Linked DNA regions of Macaca fascicularis. The protein of the gene in region 3 interacts with the protein of the main gene of each other region in a pairwise test. Links are inferred from orthologs where the notes say so. Each region holds a gene or a part of one and is shown on either strand. Other genes may lie near its edges.

Region 1 (6,001 bases), on a different chromosome or scaffold from region 3:
TTAAAGACTGTCCACTACTGTGCTGCATACTCCCTAACTCTCCCACCTGGGTGGGTGTGTATGAATGGACTGTATACTTTATTAAATAAGACAGTGTCAAACAACTAGCCACTAAACACTAATTCGTTACAGAATTTTCCCTTAGGTTTTATTTTAATCTTTGATTTTATTCAGTATGACTATCCTGTAATGACTGTATTTTTATTTATTTATTTCTTTTTTTTGAGATGGAGTCTCACTCTGTCACCAGATTGGAGTGCAGTGGCACACTATTAGCTCACTGCAGCTTCCGCCTCCTGGGCTGAAGGGATTCTCGTGTCTCAGCCTCCTGAGTGGCTGGGACTACAGGCATGTGCCACCACGCCCAGCTAATTTTTGTTTTTTTCAGTAGAGATGGGGTTGCACCATGTTGGTCAGGCTGCTCTCGAACTCTTGACCTCAAGAGATCCACACACCTTGGCCTCCCAAAGTGCTGGGATTACAGGCATTAGCCACCAAGTCCAGCCATGACTGTGTAATTTTAAATTCAAAATAATGTTGAAGGTCTCTAGCAAGTTAAATAGTTGCTAGATAATAAGGGAGGATTTACTTATCAAATAATGGGTTAATATCTCTTCTTCTCAAGGCCAAGATGTTCCTGAATGTTATCTATAAACGCTGAACATTTCCTAAGCATCAACTCCTTCCTCCTCCTGCCCCAAGAAAATGATCTGAGACATTTAAAGGTGTCCAAAAACTCCTACTGGCCACATTCTAGTTTCAACTTCCCGCCTTACTACTAGCAGCTTTCTGCTTCCTCTTCTTAAATCTGTTATTTCATTAACACCACACTTCTCTGCAATTATTGTTTATTCTTTCGGGGTATGTGAAAGCACTCACCTACTCCCCCAGCATATCAACCCTTCAAGTACTTGAAAAAAGTTTCCATGAATCCTATTATATGAATATTATATATTAATGCTCTACTATTCTTCATATAAATACCCTTCGTCCTTTCACCTAACTAGTCCTTAAATTAGTATCTCTAGACCCCTCACCATGCTCTGAACAGATATTTTATTAATAAATCTTCAATGAAATGGGTCATTAAAACTAAATATAACACTTTAAGGTCAATGCAGAATAGAGTGAACTGCATTCCACTCTAGAGATGCCATGCTTATCTTAACGCAAAGAAAGAATACAGTTAGTTTTTTATCTGCCAGTTCTTACAATGGACTTCTCATGAAGACAGTGATTAACAGAAATCTCCATACAACCAACTCTTCGCCTTCTGCAATGCCTTCTGCAATGCCTTCTGCATTCAGGAATTACTTCTAAATACCTACTATGTGCCAAGCTCTAAAGTATAATTATTTCACCAAGATGGTAAATATTCCATCTTGTTTGCTTTGCAGCCTAAGAGTAATAAAGATCTTTCAAAAAATCAATGTATTTGTTACCTTCTCCTTTCTACAAGAAGTGTAAACCAGGAATAATGTAAAAGGACCCAGTGCTTAGCTTCAGTAAGCTGGTATTATCTATTCCCAGCAGCACCTAGAAAAGTGCCTGACATATAGTATTTAAAGACTTTAAATTTTTTGAAGTATGGGAGAAGAAAGCTGTCATACAGATCAGTTTTTACATCCGATCCTCACACTATACCTTCTTTATGGAGCTAGAAGTGACTTCCGTCAGACACATGCCTAATTAAGAAAAAATTCCAGCTTTGAATATAATTGATGGTATGTCCTTCTGACTGGGGTACGGGTTTGTTGCCCAATTTCAATGGATTTAAAGTTTGAAGGCCGGGCGCGGTGGCTCACACCTGTAATCCCAGCACTTTGGGAGGCCGAGGCGGGCGGATCACAAGGTCAGGAGTTCAAGACCAGACGATCAACATGGTGAAACTCCGTCTCTACTAAAAAGACAAAAATTAGCCAGGCGTGGTGGTGTGCGCCTGTAATTCCAGATACTCAGGAGGCTGAGGAAGGAGAATCGCTCGAAACCGGGAGGCGGAGGTTGCAGTGAGCCGGGGGAATCACGCCACTGCACACCAACCTGAGACTCCGTCTCAAAAAAAAAAAAAAATTGAGTCAGGTATGCTTTCTATCTTCCATGTGTTTGCATGCAAATTCACTTTTTGTGTTTCCCACTGACTGTAAATATCTTGTGGCCAGGAACCAGTGCTTCTTTCCTAAAGCTGTTGTTAGCTCGTGCAGTCATCTCCCCAGAGTAAACACAAAAGTATCTCAAAAGTAAGTGTGCAACAAAAGTTTCCTCTCAAGGGGAAATCCCATCCCAACATTACTTCATATACAGAATTCTGGTACTCGTTTTCTCTTCCAAAGTAGAGACTGGTATTAACAACTAGCTCCTAGAACTGCCAGTAGGAGCCCTACAACAAGCTCTTCTCCCATCTTGTCCCTGCCCCGGCCCCTCTGAAGTCCAGAAATGTCTCGGCCTCTAACTTGTATAATATAACCCTCCAACAGGAACGCTTTTCTCAGCACTGGGAATAATCTGACATGCTCAAGGTCATATAAAAAGCCTTCCTCCTGAACCAGGACCTAGGTTCAGTGGCCATACTTCTGGTTCTGCTATCTGTAAGGGTAAGACCCTGCTCAATTTCAGAGGCTGTGGCTTAGGCACCTCCTGAGGGGAGCAGTTTCCTTCAAGAAATACTAAGTCAAGTCAACCTGTAATTATTCTAAACAAGGCAACAGGCCTCAAACCCTGCCTCAGAGGCAGTGTAGCAAGACGGTCAAGATTCCCACTACCAGCGATGTGATCTTAAGTCCTCGAAGGCTCACTTTCAACATATTCCAAATGAAAATAACAATATCTGAATTTGGAGGCATCCTTGTGATGATTAAATGAGACACTGCATCTCAAATACTTACTTTAGTGTCCAGCAAAGCAAACTCTTAAAATTAGCTAGAATCATCACTATAAAACCAGGTTGGGCCTCCAGCTGGCGCTTAAGCGTTGACTTAGCCAAGGAACCAGGCTCCAATTCAGTGACCCCAATCAACTTATTCCCGTAGGCGCCACTCCGCACCCTTCCGAGCGCCTTCGGGTGCTGGGCGCCGGCCAACCCAGACCTCCCAAAGGCCCTCTCCTCTCAATCCAAAACCTTTGAGGCAGGCTGCACCAAGGAATTAACTGGCCCACTCGCCTCCCGGAGCCCCCGAGGCGCGCCTCCTGGCCAGCGCGGCCAGGGGTTGCCTCTCTGCCCTCCCCCTCCGCGACCTCCTTTCCCTTCCCCCTATGCAAAGCCCCGCCCTTCCTGCCTCCGGCTCCGTCCTCCCCCCGCCCCCTCCTCCCTCCAGCCCCTTCCCCAGCGCCTCCGACCCCAGTCGCCGGGCGGTTCGAGCGAGGCCTTCACAGCGCCTCCTCGTCTCCCGGCCTCCTCGGAGAGAGCGGCCGCAACCCCCGTCTCCAGTGGCCATACCGGCTTGCGGAGGCCGCGCCGCCGCCTCGCCGCAGGTCTCAGCTGAATGGGCCGACGCGAGGCCACTGGACTGGGGCGTCGCGGGGAGGCGGTGGTCACTGCCCGCTCCGTTGCCCTCCGCGACCGCCGCACCTCGCTCGCAGGCTCGCGCGGGCCTCGGCCAATCGCGTTGACCCAACAAGCCTAGCGAGAACTCGGGCTCTGTACGTGGCAGGTGGGGGAAGAAGAGAGGCGGGAGCAAGAAAAAAAAAAAAAAGCCCTTTCGCCCCTCCTTACTGCGCGTGGACACACCAGGACGCATGCGCCAGGCTCAGGGCTGGCTGGGTCCCGGCTGCCTCGGTCCCGGCTGCCTCTACCGAAGACTCCCTGCTTTCTCGCTGGATGATGGGCTGTAGGAAGCGTGAGCTGCGCCGATTCACGCATGCGCGGGGCGTGACCAGGCACTTCCGGTTTTCTGGAAAGCATGTATTTCCGTTTCTCGCCAATGGGCGGGGCGTAGTGCGCTGTTCTAGACTTTTTGAGAGCCGGTTGCAGGTCTGTCCAACTTTAAGTGGTTTTTGTCGTTGTTGTTGACCATTGTAGTAACAGATGAAATAAAAACCTTTTCTTCCACAAATCCATTCATTCATTACTGGGAGCCTACGCTTTGCCAAGCCCCGTTCTAGGAATGGGGGTGAATCATTTTGTGAGCAAGGAGTTTCCAATTCAGCAGGGAAGACCGACAGCGTTTATAAGCCAAGACAAATATGTGACTGTGTAAAGGACAAAAGCTGGGAAATTAAGGCTAATGATTCCTGAGTGATTTTTGGAGGATAAGGCATTTGAGTGTGCACTACGTACTCTTCCCTTCTCCTTTACCTGTTCAAATAGAAATACAGTATAAGTGGGAATTTATAGCCAAGGGGTGGGAGTCGGTCAGTGGATGGAAAATTACTAAGAGGAAATGTCAGGGACAAGGGAGATTCTGGCTAAACCAACACAACAGGATTCTAGATGAAGACAGGCCAGGATAACAGACATCACCTGGGGGTGGTGGAGGATGAGGAACCTGATCAAGGGTGAGGGATTCTTACTATACTGACTTAACAAGGTTCTTTGCTGAAACTGAGTTTTACAAGAAGATGCACAGATGGGCCTAGGAGAAGGCTCAGGAGCCTGAAGTTTGGCCAAGCAGAGAATCTTTGTCACTTCGAAGGTGGAGACTAAGCCGATAAATAAAGCATTTATACCCTACCTGGTCTCCAGTTGTTTACCAGTTATAAGAGAAAAACTTAAGCTGAATTAAATTTAAAGGAGTTTAATTGAGCAACGAATGATTTCACAAACTGGGCAGCCCCCAGAATCACAGCAGATTCAGAGACTCCAGCACAGCCATGTGGTGGAAGATTTTAGACAGAAAAAGGGAAATGAGGTACAGAAATCGGGAGTCAAGTACAGAAACAGCTGGATTGGTTACAGGTTGGCGTTTGCCTTATTTGAACACTTAGCAGTCTATGAGTGGTTGAGGGTGGTGGCTGGAATTGGCCAAGACTAGGTTATTGTTACAGATGCATACTCCTAAGTTAGGTTTTCATTCTTGTCTATTAAGCTAGGTTACAGTTCATCCACAAGGATTCAAATATAAAAGTATGGAGTCCTTCTCAGGCCATACTTAGTTTGCTTTAACACCCGATACTCGTAAAGGACCTGGGGTAAATTCAAGTGTTTCAGGGTGAGAAGCTATGTTCTTTTACTACTATGAGTAGTGTGATATTTTTCAGTTATAAGTCTCTGAAACTTCTGTTTGAGAGTGAAATAATGTAAGTTTAGACTGTTCACTTCTGATTTGTATTTGCCAACAGTTGTATTGCCCTTTGAACAATTGTTTGCAGGGATAAGGTTGTGGAGTACTGCAGAAGAAATGAAAAACAGTTCCTGATTGCTCTCCAAAGAAGTTATTCATTGCTTATTTTTTAAAATGGAATAATACAGATTTAAGGAGATGCACTGCTGTCAGATAATAGTATTATGATGTCATTAAAATGGTTTGGGATGGGGTAAAACCACAACCATGTGGCAAAGGTAAAATATTCCCTGAAGGAAGTAAATTATACTACTGTTATAGTAGTATATTTAAACTAAAAAGAGGTCAGATCCTGAGGCAGGAGATAAGGAGATGAACCTTGGCCTATTATAAGGTGAAAAGAATATCTGCTGAGGATCCCCAGTGAGGGGGCACTCAAGAGTCCTGCTACTGAGGAGAAATAAACTGGTGCCTGTTACACTGTGGTCATCCGTATGCTAGGAAGAGAGGCACCCATAAGCTGGCCTTGTGGAAAGTCTGGAGCTCATGGACTCTGAAAGCAACTTGAGGCTCTTTATGTTGTAATTTCCCTCATGCTTCATCCCCAAGCCATCAGTAAAGTCTTGTTTAATGGTAAAACCTGTTCCCAACTATTTCTGTGGAACTTGAGAGGTGGGGTTCTGGTGATTTCTCAAGTCGAAGCTGATGCACATCTATGTACTTAGGCTAAATACATACAGGTGATAACTAGACATGAGCCATAACCAGGTTATGGCTCTATGACA
Region 2 (6,124 bases), on a different chromosome or scaffold from region 3:
TTCCCACACCAAACCCACACAGCAGGCAGACCCAGGGCCCCACCTCCTCTCAGCTCTGTCCCATTCCCTCAGAGCTCTTCCCCAACCCTGCCCTGCAACAGGCACTGGGGATCCAGACACCCAGCAGACGGGCAGACACCACTGCTATTATCCGGCCAAGGAAACCAATGAGAAAACCAATACTAACAGAAACAGTAACACATTTATTGACCAATTACTGTATGCCAAGCAGCAAGGAGGCAACCCAGGGGTCAAGTCTGGCCACATGGTCCGTGGTGACCACTGCAGCCCCAGCCCCAACAGCAGCGTAAGGAGCACACACTGGACAGTAGGACACTACAGTTCCCAGCTGGTGGCCAGAGAACAGCCAGCCAGGCCCAAGGGCCACTGTGGTGACATGGCCCAGCCCCACCACAGGGTTCCCTAGCACAGTCATGTCCCTTGTGGTGCTTGCCGCAGAGTGGTTCTGACCATCTCACCCATGCACTGCTGCCTGGTCACCACCAGCTACCCTCCCCACATCAGCCCAGCACTCCCTGCCCTTCCACTTTGGGTCCCCCAATACCTGCTCCATGCAGGCCAGGTTCCGGACCCTCTGTGACTCTCTGCCTCCGCCTCATGGCTCTCTTTCTCTGAGCTAGCCCTCACCACAAATGCACTCTTGTGGGCTGAACTGTGCCCGGACCCCAGTCCCTGCGCATGGGAGGTACTAGAAACAAGCTATTTGAAAATGAAACAAAGATGGGGTCTTGCTGGATTAACGCAGGCCCTAAAACCAATGACTAGAGTCCTTATAAAAACTGGGAAATTGAGGCCAGGCATGATGGCTCATGCCTGTAATCACAGCACTTTGGGAGGCCAAGGGGGGTGGGGGGGGGCGGATCACCTGAGGTCGGGAGTTCAAGACCAGCCTGGCCAACATGGAGAAACGCCGTCTGTACTAAAAACACAAAATTAGCTGGATATGGTGGCACGTGCCTGTAATTCCAGCTACTCAGGAGGCTGAGGCAGGAGAACTGTTTGAACGTGGGCGGGTGGGGGGGCGGAGGCTGTGAGCCCAAGATGGTGCCATTGCACTCTAGCCTGGGCAACAAGAGCGAAACTCCATTTCAAAAAAAAAAAAAAAAAAAAAAGATGATGATGAAATCAGAGACTGGCTGGATACACCTACAAGCTAGAGAACACCAAGGGCTGCCCACAGCCATCAGAAGCCAAGAGAAGAGCAGGGAACTGACCCCTGGACTTGGGACTTCTGGCCTCCAAAACTGTAAGGGAATAGATTTCTGTCGTTTGAAGCCACCTGGGTTGTGGTAATGTGTCAAGGAAGTCACAGGACACTGACGCATCTGCTTATTTCAAAACACTTCCACTGATGGAACCAGAGTCACAGATGCACCGGCACGTGCTCAGCACTAACTGTGCTCAGACACGACGAGAGGCTGGGGATCAGCAAAGAATTCATCAGTCACATGCTGAACTCAGGAGCCCAAGCAAGTGCTTCCTGGGCCACATGACGGCTGAGGGAGCATGAGACAGGGAACATTTGAGTGAGGCTTTGAAGGTTGAGTAGAAGTTGGCTTGGAAGATCCCCACCCACACACTATGTTGTTAAGGACAAGTTGTATTCTTCCTTCCCCTTCACTACCAAGCGGGTTTCAGAGGGGTCCCTGGCTTCTCTTAATGCTCTCGGCATGAGACTACTAGCACACACTGTGGACACAGCACACGTTTTAGGCATAGAACACGCACCTCTCACACCCTTCTCAGCCTTCTCACACCTCCCAGTAAAAGATCCCTGGGTAAATACATTCACTGTCAAAACACCAAGCCCAATATGCAGCCTGCTGGCCCTACCAGGCCAAGTCAGCAGCCTAAACTAAAGATCCATTTCCAATGGTCAGCAGGCTGAGTTTCTGCCCTGGGACACACAGTCCACAGGTGCATTTCTTCCTTTCTAATCTGATGTTTGGGGCAGCACCTCAATACACACTTTTACCTGGAGAATTTGGGGAGCTTCAATGGAAGTGTGTGCGCAGTGCAAATAACAGGACGAACGTTGAAGACAAAAGTAGCTTCAGGAACAATGACTGCTAAGGTCCAAAAAACCAGAGTGCCAGGAGATGCTCCGGGTTCCAACATTTGCCTCTGAGCCTAGAGCTTGACCTCCGCCTGGCCAAATGTTCCCAGATCAAGGGGTACCAACAGAGCAGACCCTGGAGTCACAGTCTGGGTTCAACACCTGGCTGTGCCACTTAGCAGCAAGGCACTCAGCACCCCAGGCTTCAGCGTCCACTTACCAGCAAGGCACAGCCTCCCTAGACCTCAGCGTCCTTAACTGTTAAACGGGATGCCAGTAGCTTCTATGAAGAATTGGATGAATTAAAATTTATAAAACCCTTAGAAGTGTCTGGGATACAGTAGGCACACATAAGTGTTTACTACGTAAATTAAAATGCCACACTTGTAAATCTGTGTTTCTGCTATTCTCAATCTCTCCTGTTCAGAGTTGGCCAAGGTTCTCATTTGTTAAGACCATCAAATTTCTAAAACTAGCAACAGCAAGGATAGTCTCAAAATAGGCGATAGATTTAGGACAACTTCCACAGGAGACTGGCATGTCATCAAGGAATAAGAGCCACAATCAAGGTCAAGGTGAACCCCCTTAGGGAGACACGCCGCTCCTGGGAACCTAGGAATACCACTGTTTATCCCTGCAATCCCACCAGGGTGAAGACGGAGTCGGAGTTGAGGAAAAAACGAATGTCACTCCAAAAGATGTTGCGACAACTGAAACGGGAATGGCTAATGCTGATTTTCTTCCGAATTTGTCTTCTACCGAAAAACAGCAGAAAATGCAAAGTCTCAATTTCAAAACTTAGGGCTTTGGATAACGGTATCCCAAACCCCTGTAAACGCTGTCTCTTGAAATCCACAAGGCCGAACTTACGGAGCTAGAGGAAAGGTTGTGGAGCAAATCCACCAAGTTTGTTAGGCGAGGCGGCGGGGGAGGGTGTCACGCTGAAATGCGGCGTGGCCGCGAGGATACGGGTGGGCGGTGCGCTTCTTACGGGGCCGAGCTGCCTAACGATGCCCTCCAAATGGGCATTGGGAGGCGTCCCTCTGTGCCTCCATCGTCCGCGCCTCGCTCCAGCGGCAGAAGGGGCAGCCCTGGCCGCGGGCCCCGCCATCTCCGTGCGCCCGGAGGCCGGCCCGCGCCCTTCTCCACTCGCCAAGCTGAGCGCAGAGAGCGAGTGTCGCCCGCCGCCCGCCTTCGCCACCGAGACTGGCTGCGGAGCGCGACGAGCCCTCGCCCCGGCCCCGAGGGGTCCCCGTGCGCCCGGCACGGCCCAGGACTGTTCCCAGCGCGCGCCGCGGACTCGGAGGACAGCGCGCTCGGGGGCCGGCACCCTCCAGCGTCCGCCCGGCCCCCAGCGCCCCGTGCCCCGGCCCGAGGGACCCGCCGCCCCAACAAAGTTGGCGCAGGCTCTCCGGGGAGCGCCCCCCACACGGCCCGGTGCCCGCTGGCGCGCAGGCGTGGAACGCGGGGACGGGCACCGGGCCGCCGTCCGGGTTCGCGGCCGCCCGGCTGCGCCCCGGCTTTGTTCGCGCCCTGCGCCCGCCAGCTGCCCGCGCCCCGGCCCCGCGAGCGCCCGCCCTCAGCCCCGCCGCCCGGCGCCGCCGCCCCGGCCCGGCCCACCTTCTGGATGGTTTGCTGCGTGACCTCCCCTTTGCCTCTTGGCCGGGCGGACGCGAAGGCCACGGACATGGTGGCTGCGCGGGACTCAGCCCGTGGTCATCGGGGTGGATACTCCGGCTGCGCTCGGCGGCCCGAGGCGCTCATTATCCGCAGTAGCGGCGGGGGGGCAGGGGGCGGGGGCGCGGGGGGCGCCGCGTCATGGGCTCGTCCGCCTCGTCGCCGTCGCCGAGCCTCCGGGCCCGCGGCGCCGCCGCTCCGCCCTGCAGAAGGGTCTGCGGCCCAGTGCCGAACGGTGGCCCCCGGCGGCCCCCTCGCACCCAGCGCCCGGCCCTCCGCCGGAGCACCGCCTCCCACCCCCGGCCACCGGTGGTTCGGCCTGGCCCCGCCCCGGCGCCCGCCCGCACGTCCGCCCGACGCCGCCTGACGCCGCCCGACGCCGCCTGACGCCGCCCGTCGCCGGCAGCGCAGGTCACGGCGCCGAGGGCGGGGCGCGGGCGCAGTGGCGCCGGGAGTCGCGGGTGCGCGCGGGCCGTGAGTGTGCGCTTTTGAGAGTCGCGGCGGAAGGAACTCGGCCGCCGCCCCGCCGGCATGAGCTACGACCGCGCCATCACCGTCTTTTCGCCCGACGGCCATCTCTTCCAAGTGGAGTACGCGCAGGAGGCCGTCAAGAAGGGCTCGACCGCGGTGAGCCGCCGGGGCCTGCGCGGGGCCGGGGACGCGGGCGGAAGTGGGGCTGGGGAGCCGAGAGAGGGTCGGGGTCGGGCGCGGAGCTGTGGGCGCACGCGGGCGTGCGCGGGGCAGCGGCGTGGGCAGTCGGGGCTGTAGCTGAGCGCGGGCCCCGCTGCCGGTCTCCACGAGTGCCTGCAGAGGCGGCGTTTGGCGTGAGCCGCGATGGCCCGTTCTCCCCACCCAGCGCCTCGCTTGGGGCCCGGCCTCGCGTGGGGCACCGGGCACGCGGGACCGTGGCGACGCCATCTTGGGCACCCCTGGCCCCGGCCGGGCGCGTGGGTCGCATCGCCGACCCGGTTTGCAGAGGCCGGGCGAGGGCCGCTGCAGGCCGCGGGGGATCGACTGTGCGCTCGCTGGGGGCTGTTCACGCAGCCGGGTGGCTGGGTAGCGAACTGCTCAGTCCCCCGTTACGGGGACCCCCACCCGCCCCAGGGCAACACTTGTTCTCTAGGCCCAGGTGGGCTTCGGGAACAAAGCAGCTCGCTGGTCTGGCCGGTGGCGGGCGCTTCCCGGGTCCCTGCACTCTGCCGGAAGGAGCCTTCCCGGGGCCGGGCTGCAGCCGCCCGGGTCAGGACTGGTCTGAACACGGCCGTTTCAATTTTGACGAGGGCTCGTGTACATTGACCTTAGTGACATTGTTTGAAACTTAAATTCGTAGCATCAAGACGTGTCAGTTTTGTTGGTCAGCCTGTGAGATCGTTATTCTTTTATCACCTGGTATTCAGAGGTTTGAGCAGGCAAAGAAAGCACACACGGTTCTCTAAATTTTGAATTGTTTTCATTTTCTGAATCTTTGTTTTGAAATGAAGGCCCAGTTATTCATCAGGTGATCTAAGTCAGCTTAAAGAGCACTAGGAGTCGGCTGACCCCTGCCTTCGACCCCAATACTCCCACCTCCGCCAGTTGGCTGCACCTGGCTTTAACAAATCCATGTAGCTTCTCTGGGCCTCGAGTCAGTTGAAGGTCAAGTGAGTCAGTACCTGAGAAAGCTCCCGGAAAACCCGAACACTTGAGACCAGAACTTCTCAGCCAGGGATGGTTTTGTGCCCACAGGGGCCACTGGCAGTGTGTGGCGACTTTTCTAGTGGTCTAAGACCTTGCAGAGGTGCTCCTGGCATTTAGAGGGTAGAGGCCAGGGACGCTGCTCAATATCCCACCCGTGCTTAGGGCGGCAGGAACAGTGAGATCAGCCTGCCCAGGTGCTCACAGTGCTAAGCGGGAGAAGCCCCTGCTCTAAACCAGGAGCCGCTGTTTATCCCAATGATGGTTCCCTTTGTTTCTGGCTTGACTCGGGGTTGACTGTCAGTGATTGTCGGTGCTTTTAGTAACAGCTACATCCTTCTCTAGTATCAGCCATAAACAATTTGGGATAACAGTTGACACCTTGTCCACTGGTGGCAAATCAGGCCCCTTCCCACGGCTGTCACATGAGTATGTCACAGTGCAGGAAACAGTGCATTGTGGCTCAATACAATTTCACAACTACAGAAACACTGCCTTCAGAACACCAGACTCGAGTGTGAAAGTCTGAGGCTTCCAGGCTTTGCATGGGACTGTTTGATTCATTGGGTTGAAAGGAAACACATGCCGATTATATAATGGTTACTTACTAGCTATGCTGTAACTAAAACTACATCTCAGCATTTGAAAGGCGCAGGTTGGGCACCTAGGTGAGCACGCCTGGGCTAGCTCTACCAG
Region 3 (5,909 bases):
CCCATCGTCTGAAAAATAATAATTTTTATTCTCTGAGCAGCAAGAATAGTAATTTTAAAACAGTACAAAATTTCTTTTGACATACACTAGAAAAGTAAAACATAACATTTTGGAAACTCTCATGGCTGTTAGGGTAAAAATGACAATTCAATCATGGGTCAGGGAGGAGGGTGGTTAAGAGAGTTGAACTCCATGAATTACTAGTGGAGTTCATGGATATTTCACAGAGCCTTCAAATTGTGACGGAGTAATAAACAGTATGGGACTACACAGTGATGAAACCCAGACATCAATCCTTTTTGACGGTATCTTTTGACAAAAATAAACTTCTCAATGAGACCATTTTCCATCTGTAGAAGTTATAGCTCCTACCCACTGCACAGAAAATAGTAACACACTTAATCTATAAAGTGCTATATACATGTTAGATATTTATTAGGCAAAATTAAATAAAATCAAAATTTTGGGGTTGATTTGTTTAGTATGCAGGGGATGATATGTATCATACTGAAAATATAAATTAATGGCTGGGCACAGTGTCTCAAGCCTGTAATCCCGGCACTTTGGGAGGCCCAGGGGGGTGGATCACGTGAGATCAGGAGTTCAAGACCAGCCTTGCCAACATGGTGAAACCCCATCTCAACCAAAAATACAAAAAATTAGCTGGGCACGGTGGCAGACACCTGTAATCCCAGCTACTTCGGTAGGCTGAGGCAGGAGAATCGCTTGAACCCAGGAGGCGGAACTTGCAGTGAGTGACTGTCTCCAAAAATAAAAAGTTATAAATTAGAATACATGCTAGTTTTCAGCATTGGCTCATTTATCTGATTATGTTCCATTTTTTACATTTGGGCAACTCAAAAACGGGGGTTTTGAAATGCTCAAAAATCTGAAACTTTTTGAGTGCCAACATGCCGCTCAAAGAAAATGCTCATTAGAGCATTCTGGATTTCGGATGCTCAACTGGTGTAATATAAAAAAAAAAATCCAAAATCTGAAACACTTCTGGTTCCAAGCATTTGGGATAAGGGATATGCAACCTGCAATATTTCTTGGCATTTAGTTATATATTTATTGGAACATATGTGCCAAACAATGTGTTGGGCTTTAGAGAAATTTTAGTATTACATGGAGATTCCTGAGATGTGCTGTCTTTTGCAGTCCATAAGGACCATAAAGAAAGAGCTGGGAGTAGAGGGCGGTGACATGGGTCCTAGGGAAAGAAGAGCAGTTGGTGTAAAAATTGGGAGAATCTGTGAGGAGGTATAAGCAGTTCAGATGGGTTAGAATATAGCAAGGGAAGGGGAAAGTCTTAGCAGAGAGACCTTAGACGAGGGTTTGAATTATTTCAGTAAGAGTCGGCTCATCTGAATGAACCTGAACTATAAAGAACAGGCCATACTGTTTGTAAAAAGCACGCAGTTAAAAACAAAAAACAAAAAACAACCAGACCAGTAATGCTGCGATGAACTAAATTGGACTCTGTCCAATCAAGTGCCTAAAATAGTGCTTGGGTGGAAAACAGGTACCAAATTCTCTTTCCCTTGTATGTGGACATCTAGCTTATAGGTAAAAGAGTAAACGCTAAAGTATGACCATCCAGCTACAACTGCAGCTCTTCACTGGTTGGACTGGCCAGAGTTGACAAGTCCAATTCTCCAAACTCGAGGCAAAGGGAGATCAGAATCGTATGCACATCATAGATTTGCTCTAAGACTTATATAATAAACAAATCTCTTAGTCACTGCCTGGAATATAGCAAAACCTCAACAAATATTAGCTTTTACGATGCCTACTTTTAGGTCCATAAATCTTTATCTGCCCTTCTCAATCCAGAGACTTCCGAAAAAATAAACTTTCCCAAGTTTGGCACAAATCTTACATGGTGGCAAAATGTGACCTGAAGCTATTTATAGTTTCTATTCGCCCCCACTTAGAATGAATGCTCACATCTATTGCTGCAAATATTAATGTTGGATGATGCGGTGCCCCATTCTGCTGGGGGTGTTATCTCTCGTCTAACATGTCGTCTTTCTAAAAAGATGAAGATAAAATCCAAGTATTTTTGAATTCAAAACACACTAGCTTCAAAAGTTTCAGCTAAGAGACTGGGGATGGATATTACCCATTCCTCCTGGAGAGAGGAAAAGAACATTCCAATATTTGCAATTCACTCCAAGTTTCTGAAGCAAACTCGCTTTGCATTGTGGGCTCAGAGATGCCAGCATGAAAAATTTCTATTCTTCCCTCAAAGAACACCAGTGAACAAAGAACTTACAAAATGTTTCTGAAGGCTACCTTTGCCTGTAATGAGGGTTCCTTTTCAAAACAGACCTTTACAACCCCCAGGTGTGTATTTCTCTAGCAGTAAAACTAAAAAAAAATTTTTCGGTCGAGCGAGTCCGGCTTCATGCTTTAACACTGCAATCTTTACCTATTAAAAGCTGTACTCTTGCTTTTCAAGGTAAAGAGGAAAACGGTCCCCCTATATATAAGCTATCGTAGGTATGCGCTCTTCAGTCCTAAAAAGGAGATCCCTAAATTCTGCCCTTCTCGTGGTTTGCCCTGGGTATTCATCTAACGTATCCGTGGGCAATTCCTCTAGTGAGTCATAACCAGAGCGTTGTCACACTGCGGATTAACAAGCGCCCGAGATTCCTGTAATAATCTTTTCAGGCTTTTCCCTTTTTATTAGAAATTAATGAATGGGTGCAATGGGGTGGGGGTAGAGGGGAAATCGGGGCCAAAAGGCGCGAGGCCGGCAGCCTTTTAGGGACGCACGAACAAAGGGAGTCCGGGATCAACCGGAGCGAACCGGCCTCCGAGCGGGTCGCGCCCGCCGGGAAAGGGTGGGGGAGGGGCCGGCCCGCGCCCGCCCCGCCCCGCAGCCAGGCCTGACGTCAGGCGCCCAGAAACCCGTCGGGCGCGACGTCAGCGGCCTCCTACACCTTCTCCCTGGGGGGCGATCCCCAGGCAGCCCGCAGCGTGGAGGAAGGCGACCGAGAGAAACGCTTAGCCCCGGTCCCAGGCAGGCGACCACGGCCCGAGCACTGGACGTGACTCGATGCACCTCAGTTACCGCGCCCGCTTCCCGCTTGGCCGCGCCCGCGGGCTCCGCAACCCCAGCCCCCCGATTCCCCTTCACGACTCCCACTAGTACCGAAGCAGCCTCACCCGGCAATATCCGAGACCGCAGTAGGGTCTAGAAGCGGCGATGGGTCCGAGGGACTGGGCCCTGAAGAAGCGGGCGCAGCCTGACTGACGGCAGGGAAAGCAGCGGCGGCAACAGCACCAGCAGCGCGCGGCTCCTCCTGGCGCCGGAACAGGAAGCGCCGAGCGCACCGCCTCCGCCCGCTCTCCCCCTCCCCTCAGGCCGCGCCGCGTGCGCCTCCCGCAGGCCCCTGGCGGTACTGCGGCCCGCCAGACGCAGGGGGATGGGCTCCACCTGGCGCCGGCCCCGGGCCGCTTTCCCCTGATGGGCGGGCTGAAAGCTCCCAGAGTTTCCGGAGTTCCGAGGACTCAGAGGAAACGCCAGTGGTCGCCGGTGTTCACGGCATACCGGCGGAAATTGCTAACTTGTCTTGAGTTGCTTGAGGGCTGATTCTGGATTCCCTTTGCTCAGCGGTTTTTACAGCTAGGCCTCGAAGGAGGCTGGGTATGGACGCGGTCTGATTTCTGCCTGACCGAACGATTCAGATCCTCGGGCCAAAAGTGGGGAGAGGGAAAAGATTAATACAGGAAAGAGAAAACCTTTGCAAATAGCTTAACAAATTGATATTTGCTGTCTTTGCTGAGTTTTCCTCATCAATGCCTCTTCTCCTATGTTCTTTTTTGTGGTTTTTGAGACGAGGCATCTGTCACCCAGACTGGAATGCAGTGGCGCGATCTCGGCTCACTGCAACCTCTGCCTGGTGGTCTCAAGCTATCCTCCCATCTTAGCCTCCTAGTAGCTGGGACTACAGGCGTGTGTCACCACACCCGCTGATTTTTGTGTTTTTAGTAGAGATGGGGTCTCACCTTGCTAGTCTCAAGCGATCCGCCCTCTTCGGCCTCCCAAAGTGCTGGTATTACAGGCGTGAGCCACCGCGCCCAGCCGCGATCTTCATTTCTGAATAAACATTACCTCCTGTGTCAGGCACAGATGACATGACCCCAGTCAAGGAACCTACTAACTAGCAATAAAGATGTCGTGACAATTATATGGTGTGCAAAATAGACACATATATGCAATATATGTATTTTTTTAGACGGAGTCTCGCTCTGTTGCCAGGCTGGAGTGCAGTGGCGCGGCGCTATCTCAGCTCACTGCAACCTCCGCTTCCCGGGTTCAAACGATTCTCCTGCCTCAGCCTCCCAAGTAGCTGGGACTACAGGCGCGCTCTACGTTGCCCAGCTAATTTAGAGACGAGGTTTCACCATGTTGGCCAGGATGGTCTCGATCTCTTGACCTTGTGATCCGCCTGCCTCGGCCTCCCAAAGTGCTGGGATTACAGACGTGAGCCACTGCGCCCGGCCAATATACATTTTTTTAACATATAAAAATATCCTAAAAGCATGTGGTGCACTTGCATCTTGCTTTGTGTAAGGCATTAGTGAGTCAGGGGGTGGCCATTTAAAACTGTGAACTTATTTAAAGGAAGACATCCCTGGATGTATTCCACAGCAAACACAATTCTCACACTGAAAAAGGGGCAACAGAGGAACTTAAAATATCTAAGCCCAGAGTCTTATTTTTGGATAAGGGCACACAGGCCTATGGAAAATTACACGACTAGTGTGGACCTAGCCTGTCCTCACTGGAGACAGTGAATAAGCAGTGCTTTGTGGAGCCATGGTGAAGCCTGAAGCAACAAGAAATCAGCAATCCAGTCATGTTTGATTTGAAATTTGGTATCTTGCTCATCATAGGCTTTTTTTGGCATCAATTCTGATTTTACAATATTGCACCAAAACATTGTCTTCCTTAGTCTATTAGTCAAATATTTGTGCCCAAGTGCCTCACCATACCCTAGTCCTGGCACTGTACCAGTAATGGATAGCCTCCAACTTTTCCTTGCCTGCAATCAGCCAGTAGCTGAGCACATTGGAGGGGTCTAGATCTAGGCCATTCCTGTCCCTGTGGACTTGTCTACAGGGAACCTTTGCTTGGGAACTAAGTCCTCATCTAGCAGTTTGAAGGTGCACTGAAGTCCAAAGCTCCCCTACCCAATCCTTCCTTCCAGGTGTCAGACTTTCAGAGTGGTATGAAGAATTCCCCACCTTCTGCTCCCTTCTTTATCTTTCTAGGTATTTCACTCCAAATAAATCTCTTGCACCTCTTGGCACCTGCTTCTGGAAGATCCAAACACAAAAAACTAAAAGGAGTGTATTATAAATTAGAAAATGTGTAAGAATGTGGATTTCTCTATTTTTTTCAGATTCTAAGTTGAATGTGTGAAGACATATGTTTTTAAAATAAAACACAAAGCCTTTGGATTTTACATAGGAAGTTTTAATTAAGAAGAAATGAAAATTTATCCAGATCAGTTTATTTGAACTTACATCCAAGAAGAAACATTCAACTTAAGGATTAGAAATAAAAGTGGCAATTGTCTACTTCTTTCGTGGTAAGGAATAAATCATACAAGCCTGATTAACAAGAGTAATAGCTTTGTGAAAACTGCATATTTGAGTACATGTGAACTCATACTTGGCTTATATAGAATTTATCCAATTCTAGCAAAGTCAGCATAATTTAAGTAAACCTTGAGTTTTACACCATGGCTCTCAAGTCTGAAAGCTTAGATTTGATTATAACCATGGCAAAAGTGATTATCTTTATTTTCTGAAAACGTAACCAACTTTTAAAATAAGTTAGGCAAACATCAGTTTTACACAGACCATATTCTGAAGGGTAGGAGGAAACTGCA

Evidence for each region.
Region 1: the proteins of MAPK1IP1L (region 3) and TFG interact in binary tests that used the Homo sapiens proteins (3 or more experiments, as listed by UniProt). The two-hybrid records come from large-scale screens. The link is inferred for Macaca fascicularis from reciprocal best matches to the Homo sapiens genes MAPK1IP1L and TFG.
Region 2: the proteins of MAPK1IP1L (region 3) and SS18L1 interact in binary tests that used the Homo sapiens proteins (3 or more experiments, as listed by UniProt). The two-hybrid records come from large-scale screens. The link is inferred for Macaca fascicularis from reciprocal best matches to the Homo sapiens genes MAPK1IP1L and SS18L1.

The regions. Positions count from the first base shown.
Region 1 is NC_088376.1:182,334,287-182,340,287, forward strand, and holds the start of TFG (protein TFG), read right to left. Parts: upstream 3,853-6,001; 5' UTR 3,710-3,852; intron 3,592-3,709; exon of another isoform or gene 3,434-3,591; intron 3,101-3,433; exon of another isoform or gene 2,883-3,100; intron 1-2,882. UniProt on the Homo sapiens protein: Plays a role in the normal dynamic function of the endoplasmic reticulum (ER) and its associated microtubules. Required for secretory cargo traffic from the endoplasmic reticulum to the Golgi apparatus.
Region 2 is NC_088384.1:118,188,418-118,194,541, reverse strand, and holds the start of SS18L1 (calcium-responsive transactivator), read right to left. Parts: upstream 4,087-6,124; 5' UTR 3,767-4,086; coding exon 3,698-3,766; intron 1-3,697. Other genes in the region: PSMA7 (proteasome subunit alpha type-7), read left to right, coding at 4,286-4,381. UniProt on the Homo sapiens protein: Transcriptional activator which is required for calcium-dependent dendritic growth and branching in cortical neurons. Recruits CREB-binding protein (CREBBP) to nuclear bodies.
Region 3 is NC_088381.1:122,905,566-122,911,474, reverse strand, and holds the start of MAPK1IP1L (MAPK-interacting and spindle-stabilizing protein-like), read right to left. Parts: upstream 3,332-5,909; 5' UTR 3,175-3,331; intron 1-3,174.